Drosophila melanogaster: one gene and its partner. The protein of the gene in region 1 interacts with the protein of each later gene in a pairwise test. Each region holds a gene or a part of one and is shown on either strand. Other genes may lie near its edges.

Evidence for each region.
Region 2: the proteins of CG5815 (region 1) and Pdk1 interact in a two-hybrid assay, tested with the Drosophila melanogaster proteins (one large-scale study listed by BioGRID).

Annotation. Positions count from the first base shown.
Region 1 is NT_033777.3:27,110,548-27,115,706, forward strand, and holds CG5815 (uncharacterized protein), read left to right. Parts: upstream 1-2,018; 5' UTR 2,019-2,080; coding exon 2,081-2,143; intron 2,144-2,283; coding exon 2,284-3,664; intron 3,665-3,726; coding exon 3,727-3,939; intron 3,940-3,996; coding exon 3,997-4,085; 3' UTR 4,086-4,579; downstream 4,580-5,159. Other genes in the region: gb (genderblind), read right to left, coding at 1-100, 724-1,172; CG6066 (uncharacterized protein), read right to left, coding at 4,684-5,159.
Region 2 is NT_037436.4:127,721-132,680, forward strand, and holds the start of Pdk1 (Phosphoinositide-dependent kinase 1), read left to right. Parts: upstream 1-1,729; 5' UTR 1,730-2,102; coding exon 2,103-2,168; intron 2,169-3,009; exon of another isoform or gene 3,010-3,851; intron 3,852-4,091; exon of another isoform or gene 4,092-4,810; intron 4,811-4,960.

The DNA of each region.
Region 1 (5,159 bases):
GAGCTGTAACGCTATTTTGGGAATCTCACAGGCTCCGCCGAAGAAGGGTTCCAGCACGTAGGAGGCAAAGGTCAGGCCCATAATGGCATTGGTCGTTGGTCTGTCAGAGATAAGAGCACACAATCAGTGGAAATTTTTTTGCAGACTGCATTCAGACATATGTCCTGCTGATAATGTCCGCATGCAAAAGTAGAAAAGCAGATATTTTCGCTTATCGCCGATCCTAAACAACAAATATAGCAGGCAATAAAACGCTCAATGCAGAACTCGCGGAACTGTTCAATAAATAAACTTATATAGCGCAGATTAAATGATAAGGCTCGTTTCACTTTCTAATGCTCTAATACACAACCCATGGCTTAACCTTGAAAAACCGGATGCATCCACACCAATCCGAAGTATTCCATTCTTCTAGTCTTATCTGAGAAGTTATTAAACTTGACCCAGTCTAAAAATCAGATTCTGTAGGACTACTTCACTTCATTCAATCTACATACATATGTTATTTCGTTAAAAAAAACGTAAAAACGCAAAAAAGAAAAAAAAATGTCAGCTATTACTTTTACTCTAATGGGTTCCTTCTGGCGATAATAAAGTAATTCGAAATCAATTACCGAAAGGAATTTGATACTGTATTTATGTTTTTCGAACCAACTGTGATAAGGGAACTTTAACGGCGAAATATTCGCGAATATTAAAACAATATTGACCAGTAAGACTCACACGAATATCATCATGGCATCCCAGAGATACAGGAAAGCCGGCAGTGATCCGTAGGCCTCGAAGATATACGCGTAATCCCCCCCAGATTTTGGTATGGCAGTACCAAGTTCCGCGTAGCAAAGAGCACCAATCATGGACAGCAGTCCGCAGAGAACCCAGATGACCAGCGAAGCGCCCACGGACTCCACCTCCCGGATGACGCCTTTCGGAGAAACAAAGATACCGGATCCGAAGATGATGCCCAGGATGATGGCCACTCCTTCGAGGAGGCCCAGCTGCTTCTTGATCACAACCCTGCTGCTGTCTGACTCGGCGGATCCCTCGCGACACTGAGCTTTCTCGGCAGGATTAGCCGCTGGTTGGGCAATGCTGGAGGGAGGATTGCCGGAGCTGGGGGTCAGCAGGACCATTTCGCTGGACGGCGACTGCAGTTCATCGGCGGCGGGCATGGCGGCTATATATGTACGTATTATGTCCTAGGGCTATGGTATTATTATCCCGCTGCTCTGTGACACAATCTTCGCACGCGACGTCTGAAAGCGAACTGTAACTGTTTCTTTGGCCGTTGTCCCGTTAATTGATTAAACGAGGCAAGTGTGTTCGTGGGTGTGACTCCGTGTACATATGTGCGTGTGTGTATATTTCTTAATGTGTTTTTCAATTGTATTGTATTTGGCTTATCTACTCCTGCTCTTCCTCTTCTTCCTTTTCCGCCGGCTAGCGTTAGTTTGTTTTGGTCGGCTCTTCGCTAGCTGCCGTCTCGCTCGCACCAGCAACACACCCTGCAGTTGAGTCTATCGCACATAAAACTCGCGATTTAAAAGAACAATTCACACTCTGTCTCGCGGAATTCGGTTAATGGGTCTGGTAAATAAGGGCAGACATCGAGGTGTAACCGCCAAATTGTGCAAACTCTGCGGTTTAATTGTGGAATTGGCACAACGTTGCTCAAAGGTTTTTCAACCCCACGTTTTCTCGAGCATCGCAGCAGTGTGACCAGCGCCCGGCTGACTGTAGAATATCAATTGATGCTGGGGTGTTTTTCTTGCGAGCTACAGGGTGCAATTTTTTATTCAAAAATAATATATATACAATATGGCCCCGCCGACTTTCCCGCTGTCGGTCCCGTACATAAGGGTAAAATGAAATTGAAAACTGAATTTTATACATTCCATATATTGAAATATTAACGAGAATTAATATACAATTACTGCGTGAGCGTACGTGCTCTCACGTGCTCTCCTCTGATTTCTTATCGAAACGAAAAGTAGACCACGTCTATCGCCTATCGCCAATCGATATCAGTATCCAAATAGATGAGCTAAAAGCAAATCGACAGAGAAATACAGATCACAAAATGGATTTTGGGGACCTGCTGCGCTACGCGAAAAAAAATAGTGATGCGGTCACCAAGGAGGTGGTGGGTATCATGCAGATGTCCAGTTCGTCCATCGCGTGAGATTTTATGCTTGGAAAACGCGGTTGCGCCTGCATTCCCTTTGTGACCCAAAATAATTTATATTCGATCTGATCATTGTAATTTTTCTCCTCTATCGCCAGGGGCAGGGGAAATACTACAGCACCAAGTATTCGCCCCCCAAGAAGCAGTCCAAGGAGTCCAAGCAGCTGTCCAGCAACATCCAGAAGTTTCTCCAAAAGAAGGAGGCCGAGGAGGCGGAAAAGAAACGGCTGGAGCGCCAGAAACTCAACGATCTGCTCGCCAAAAGAGACGAAAAGTCCAAGAACAAGATACGTAAAATGCTAAAGGTAACCAAATCGGCCAACAAATCAGTGCTGGAGGATGCCAAAGACTACGAGGGGGCCATCGACGGCCACGAGGCGGGCGAGGGTCAGGGCGATGACTACGGCTACGTGTCCACTGAAGCGAATGCCTTTTACGATAAGTACATTGAAAAGGTACGCGATGTACAGGAAGACAAGGGATTCACGCCCAGCAGGCCACAGTCGCTAAAAGATCTCTCTGGGACCAAGGAGCGCGTGAAGGCGGCCATTACCAGGGAACGAGAGGAGGCCAAGGGTAACACACGTCAGAAAAGCAGCACAAGCACACTCCCATCCAGCGCTACCAAGTCGAAGGAGTCCTCCGTGGCCCGTTCTTACAGTACCTCCAAGACTCTTTATGATCCGAACGCAGAGAAGCTCGAGGAGGAGCGCAAAAAGCGGCAGGAGGAGGAGCAGCGCCGGGCGAAGATAAAACGACCTGCTCAGCCGCCGCCCATGGACTTCCAAGCCTTGCTTCGCTTAGCTGAAAAGAAACAGCACGAGCCCGTGGTTTTTGAGGTGGAGAAAAAAAAGGAACCAGAGCGTTTGTTGTCGGCCCGTGAGAAACGCGAGTTGGAAGAGCGCCAGCGGCAACAGGAGCAGCGCGCCCAGCGTCTCAAGATGCGCGAAAGTGAAGGCAAGGAGACTCCGAAATCCATCCCCAATCGCATGGAGCCTAACGGACGCATCCCCAAGCTTAATCAAGCCAAGCCAGCCAATGCACCAAGTGATAGTTTTAAAAAACCAACTGCCCCACAGCCAACGAAAAGCAGCGCGAGCTCCACCAGTTTATCCAGTTCCAATTCCCATTCCTCCGCCAGTCGCAGTTCTGTCTCGAGCTCAAGGCCCGCTACTAAATCAGCTCAATTGACTGCCAGACCTGGCGCAACTGCATCGGCGGTTGGAAAACCGAGCTCCAGCTCTAGCAGGGATGTCCCATCCAAGAACCCCTATGCAGCTACTTCCCTAAAGGGAACTGTAAGGGAGTTTCCACCTAGGGATCAGTCAAGCATCTCAACCTTGGATCGCCGAAAAATTCCGGCAGCTGCAAAGACGCGACAGACTCCTTCATCGGATGTTCAGAGATCACAGGGCGGGCGGCAATTCCCGCCCGCAGATGTCAAGAGACGAAAACCTAACGAGCCGCCAGTCACCAAAAGTAAATACCAAGTTTGATATTAAAAATGATTTTAGATTTCATATTTTGTTCTATTTTTAAAGGACGCATTTACGACGACGATGATGAGGATGAATACGATTCTGAGCTGGATGACTTCATAGATGATGGCGACTGTGAGGAGGATATATCTTCTCACATCCGCGACATTTTCGGGTATGATAAGCGTCGTTATCAAGGAATAGACGACGACGATCGTGGCATGGAATCCAGTTTTGCACAAGTGCAGCGCGAGGAGTTCATCAGCAAGAAGCTGGGTTCGTAGCAAACCGCATGACCAATAAAAACCCATAATAATGATTATATATTCGCAGGAATGCAAGAGGATCTCGAGGACATGCGCATGGAGGCGGCGCACAAGAAACAAAAGAAGCTCGTGGCGAAAATCAGCTCACGCTCCTAGGACGGTATTTCATCTCGACGTGGGCTAATCCGTCGCCATGTAAAGTGTACACCTGATTTATCTCTTGGGCTTAGCAACGAAAATTTAAGCCCACTCATTAGTTTTTGTTGTATTACGATGCAATAAGATGAAATGCAGAGTAGATTGACGGAAAGGAGAACAGGAAAACCAGAGAAGTGCACAGGAAGAAGCGAATTCTGATGAAGATTGGTTTGCTGAAAATAGCTTATTTTTATATCATATTTTAGTCGAATATCCATGGTTAATGCCACAATGATTATAGCGGGCTCATATTTGGTATATGTACAAGTACATATGTAAACAATATATAATTTTGTGTGCGGACGACTACATCGTGTAGCTGCCATAGGAACATTTGGAAAATTATTATAAATAATGGAAAATGAAAACTTTCTTGCGTTTATTAAAGTTATTAAGTTACTCTAAGAAGCTCTTTAACTTACAATTGTCGTTTATTTTTTTTATACAAATACAAAAATTAAAACAATCATGAAGTTTCGACATTCGTTGAATTGAAATCCTGATGTGCGTTTGCCATTTATGGTAAATCCATTTTGAAGACAATATCCTTTAGGATTTACTTCTTGTCCTTGGCCTGCAGCTTTGAGTGGATCATGTCCTTAAACTGCGACAGAATCTTGTTTTCGCGCTTCTGTCGCTCCTCCTTGCTGAACATGGCCAGTGCTCGCTTCTCGTCGGCGGAGTACAGCTGGTTCTCCTTGCGGATACGGACGGCCTCCATGCGACGATGCCTGCTGCCGCTCATCACATAGCCCACGGACTCGAAATTGGCGATTTCATCGGATGTTAGGCCGATTTCACCACGGCGAGGAATTCTCTTGCCCTCGGCAATGTAGGCAGCCATGGCGGCACCTTCTCCTGGCAGCAAGGCCTTGCCGAAGTCCTTTTGATTAAGACTACCGCCGGGTCGCAGCGAAGGTCCAACGTCCTCGTCGTTGTGCGAGGCACTTTCCTTGTTCTTCGACTTGCTGGCACTGGAGGAGGAGCTCTTCTTGGACTTTTCCGCCTCTGACTTACGCTTCTTCTTCTTCT
Region 2 (4,960 bases), on another chromosome or scaffold:
TGCAAATGGGATTTTAAAAATATTTTTCAGGCGACATTGTGTCTCGCCGAACCTCGATTGCTGCCCATTAAAAATGCTAATTTCAAATATTTTTTAGCAGAAAGCAAGAAATAAATTAGCCACAAAATGCTAAAAGCAGAGGCCAAATAAAAACGATTTTAACTAAGCCACCGAACTCGCTAAGGGTGAGACAAATTAAATTGAATTTGATTATTATATAAAATAAAATAGGTAAGAAGAAAATTCGCGACCATTTCTAAAATATGCAGTCAAAGTTCATTCGATGAAGACGAATTGTAATTTTCATAGATTTATTTGAGCCTAAACGCCGTTCAGTTTGAATGAGTGCTTATCACAAGTACACAAAAACTAAAGAAATATTACTTATATTGCTAATTGATAAGGTCTTTGAATATTAAATGTGTTTATTAAACTGTGTTATTTAAACTACGCAGCAATTCACAAGTAAGTCTTTAAACAAATTAAGCTAGGAAATTTAAATAATACATAAATGGAAACTCAACCAAATATAGAAAATAACAGGAATAGAACTAATATTTACAATATTTCTTAACAAGATAAAAAACCATAACAGGAACAGAACTAATATTTACAATATTTCTTAAAGAGAAAAAAAAACAAAGTGAGAGAAAAACTTGATGACGAAAGCGTCGGCATCCACGTCAGCAAAGCCAAAGCAACTGCAGTTTCCGCTTCCCCTTAATTTTGTTTTGTTTTCGCTTCGTAGTAAAACGTAAAAACGAGAATAAAACCGTGAGCGGGAGCGGGAGCAGCAAGTGAATTTTTTCACGCTGGGTGGAAAAGGCGCGCGAACGTGACGGAACGCCGGAAAGTTGTGGAACAGGCGATGTGAATGAATTGTGGAACGCGTTTGTGTAGAAGGCCTTACACTTATGCTAATGTGGAACCCAGAGTGCGGATCAACGAACGATCCGTGCGCGAAGAGAGCGGGAATAGTTTAAATTCCAGAAAATGCACATTTGTACACATACATACATACATAATTGCCTTGGAAGTTTACGACAGCGACGTTGTCCACAATTTCATTTTATAGATGGGGGCGTGGCACTGATGCATGATCTTGATGGAATTATGTACCTATGTATGTATGTATGTAAATGTAAGCAAGATTCGTTGCAGTAACAACAAATAAGTGGATGAAAACAAGTGCGTCACTTACTCATTAATAAATAAATAATTAATGGGCGGCGCATTCGAAATGTAAAAGAAAACGCAAATAGCTTGCCCACTCGCGGCAATAACGGAACCGTGACTTGCAAATCGGTGAAATGAATAGGATATGCATAACTGTTTTTTCGAAAGACCTGCAAATAATTCAAGAAAGTTCCAGAAATACCCAAATTTAATAGCTATCCAACATTAGGGTGACAATAACGTGTTTCAACAGATGCAATATATACGCAAAATCAAAGAAAAACAAACAAAACCCGTTAAAAACTAATTATTTAAAAAAGAATACAAAAATATAAATTTAAAGCTAACTTAATAAAAAATAACATAATTTTCCCATTATTCATGTGTCGATTAAAACTCAAATGAAAATTCTTACACTTCTCCGCACTCTTTTTTACCCCATAACTCTCTATCTCTCTTCCAGTTCTCCGCGCTCACGATTTGGTAACTGTGGCCCAATGCCGCCGTTCCCAGTTTAGCGCGCTCTCCTTGCCTTTTCTTTCGCCTTTTCGACTCATTTCGAATCGGAAATTTGACGGGTTCGGTCGTAATCACGGATACAAATTTGACGCCCTGTTGGAAAAACCACAACGTCCAATTTTCCTTTTATCGCGCCAAAAAGAAATGCGAGTAAGACCCGAGTCTTCGTGTATACGTATAATTACCATTTGCAATCACAAAGGTTTTGCAACTGTCGCCGGGCGGTGAAAACTCAAGTGAATAAATATCGCAAAGTGAAGCAAATAAAAAAATATTACAAAAACCGGTAAAACGAAATGAAACTGAAATGAGTGAGGGCAGCAACTTCAAGTGACGAAAGCAATCCGTTTACCGTTGTCTTTGCCTCTTCATCCTCCCCGAGAACGGCGGAGAACGCGAAAAATATCATGAAATGTAAAAGCTGGTCCAACAAAATTAACAACTACGTTGTGCGCAAAATAAAGTCTATCAAGGTAAATAGTGTCTTAAAAAGGTGCGGTGTTTGGCCCTGATACATATATACTTATATTTATTTAAATTTTGATTAAGTGAATATATCTTATGAGGCTTATGAGACTTGTTAAGGTGTTAAAAAATAAGTTTATAGCATAGATATGGGGTAATGCGAAAGTACAATTTGTTAAAGTTGTTTTTAATTAAAATAATTTAGTAAAACTTTTTTTACAAACTACAAGTAATGCTTTCGAGAAAATACCTCCCATCAATTTTATCGTTAAATTACACAAAATTGTTCTTGGAAAAAAAAATTGAATTGGTTGTACAAATTTTTGTTTACAAAATACAAAAGCTGCAAAATAATTTATTGACATGAAATAATGAAATACTCATAAAGCTGTGAAATTTAATGTTTGAGCTATATAGCAAAAAAAAAAAGTATTTTTACTTTTTGCAATTCTTGTTACCAATAAATTTAAATATTTCCGTACATTTCATCTAAAAAATTTCCATTGACAACACATGCTGGTATAATATATAAAGATCAAAGCCATAAACTCCTCACTAAGTGGGCAATAAAATAAGATAATTCAACGACTGTCTGTATAACAACCACTTTAAAAGCTATCTAGATGGAGTTGATTATGAATACATTTTCAGATGCTTATATTACTCGACATAAATAGGCAGTGGATGTGTATAATTATTTTGCAGGCACCCGACAACGAAAATAAAATGCATAAAAAAGTTTAATGAAGCCGCAGGGGTTGACTAAATTTATTTAACAACTGCAGTTCATTGCCTCGCAAATTGCTTGATACTTTAAAAACAACAACAAAAATTCACAGCAAAAAAACACAATGATTCCAGCTGGTTTCTAAACAACAATTTATTGTGGTTTCTTTTACTTTTAATTGCTATCTATTAGCAGCAACCAATAAATGAATTATTTATTTTATTTTCTCTTGCAAGCAGCCAAAAGTAAAATTATGCCCCTCTCTCTCCCGATCCGAGTTCATCACTTTGTCTTCTTTTAGCTGTTTTTATTTTGCAAATAACTTGAGTAGTGGATGGGAAACAACGCAAAGGCCTTTCACTTGCATGTCTGTTGCTCGGTTTGTTGTCATTAGGTTTACTGTTGTTGTTGCACACACTCATCCGCTTACATACCTCGTTTATATACTTATTTACATTTGAAGTTGCCGTCGTTGGTATGTTTTACTACGTATCAGCTTGTCCGCTTTGAGCTGCCCCTTCGCTTTTCAAGCATTTTGTTTTGTCCGCTCTGTTTTTCAGCTATTCCAATTCTCTTCCTTCGTTGCCCTGTGTATGTATTCGTAATCGGGTTCGGATTCTTGTTTATTTTTACACCACTTCTCTTTCTCTTTCGCACGAAAATTCCTCGAATTCTTTTTTATCCATATTTTCCTTTTCCAGCGGGAAAAACGAGTTTTTCCAGCAGCGCCGCATTCTTAGCCTGTCGCCTTGTCTCTTTCCCACTTTTATAGTGTCTCCGCTTCTTGCTTGTTTACAGTTAGGAATGCGGTCGTCTCCCCTCTCTCTCTCTCTCTCTCTCTCTCTCTCACTCTCTCTCTTCAAAAAGAGCGTGCGCTCTCTTTGGCCTTATGTAGTTGTGTGGATTTCGACTGAAACTTGTTTTCGCTTTGCCCCGTCGTGTTTATTTATAAAAAGTCACTGGCAAACAATTACAGTGCAACAATTACGCTCTCAAAAGTGGCGCGCAACTTGTTCGCCTTGTAAAAAAAATTGTGACGCCAGCGGCGACACGACTGCGCTGCTTTGGCCCCATTTAACTGAGAGCGCCGAGGGTTAGCTTGGCGGGGGCGGCAACGCCAAAGAGAGTTCTCTCGGGTGGCGCTCGTCTCCCATCGGTTTCGCTGCTCGAGCCAAATGCTTGGAAGTCAAAGTCTCGCCCGACCATAGTTTCTTATTGGATTTCAAACCAGTCGCTTCGTGCACGCGGCGTTCGACTACGCACACACACACACCCATAGCGCGCTGGCATTGATATACATACACAGGCAAATACACGACGCCCCAAGTTCGTGTGATGTAGTGCTGTAGTGGTGCGATTAAATAATACTCCACAAAAGGCCAAATAAATTACATAAAATCTAAATCGGAATAAAAATAAGTGTATTCTCCCTCCGTGTTGTGTTCAAAGTATTTAACCGATTGTTTTCATTAGTCAAATTAATGTAGTACAACGTATGAGTGTGAGCCAGTTCCTAGAAAAATAAGAGGGCATAAAAAATAACAGACACATACAGCGTCTCGTTTCTTATAAATTTTCCTACTGCGTCGGAATTATTGTCTTGATTATTGTTGTTTCTGGCGAACTTTTGTGATTTGTTTCGAGAAACATACTGCGGCGGTTTCATAATTGTGCAAATCAAGGGAAGCACAATACGAATGTTAAGAATCAAAGCTAAGAATTAAATAAAATTAAAGCCGCACACATACATATACACAGGCACGCGCAGAGTCGAAAAAATACGCGCGCTCGCTCTGTACAGTGTGTGCGTGTACGCGGTGGCTGGCTCTTCTTCTTCATTCGTGTGCCCATTGGAATTTGTACCCCAAATCGAAATTACAACATAGACAAACAAAGAGCGCCCGTCTGCCCCAGCACCTAAACGTAAGTGTGTGCGTGCGAGAGTCGTTTCATTTGCATTCTTGTTTAGCGCACTCCCGCTCTCTCTTCGTGCGTTTTTCATTCATAAGCACATTTTTACTATTTGGAACTGCAATTTTTTACACTAAGCTTGAGGACAGACAAGAATACTGT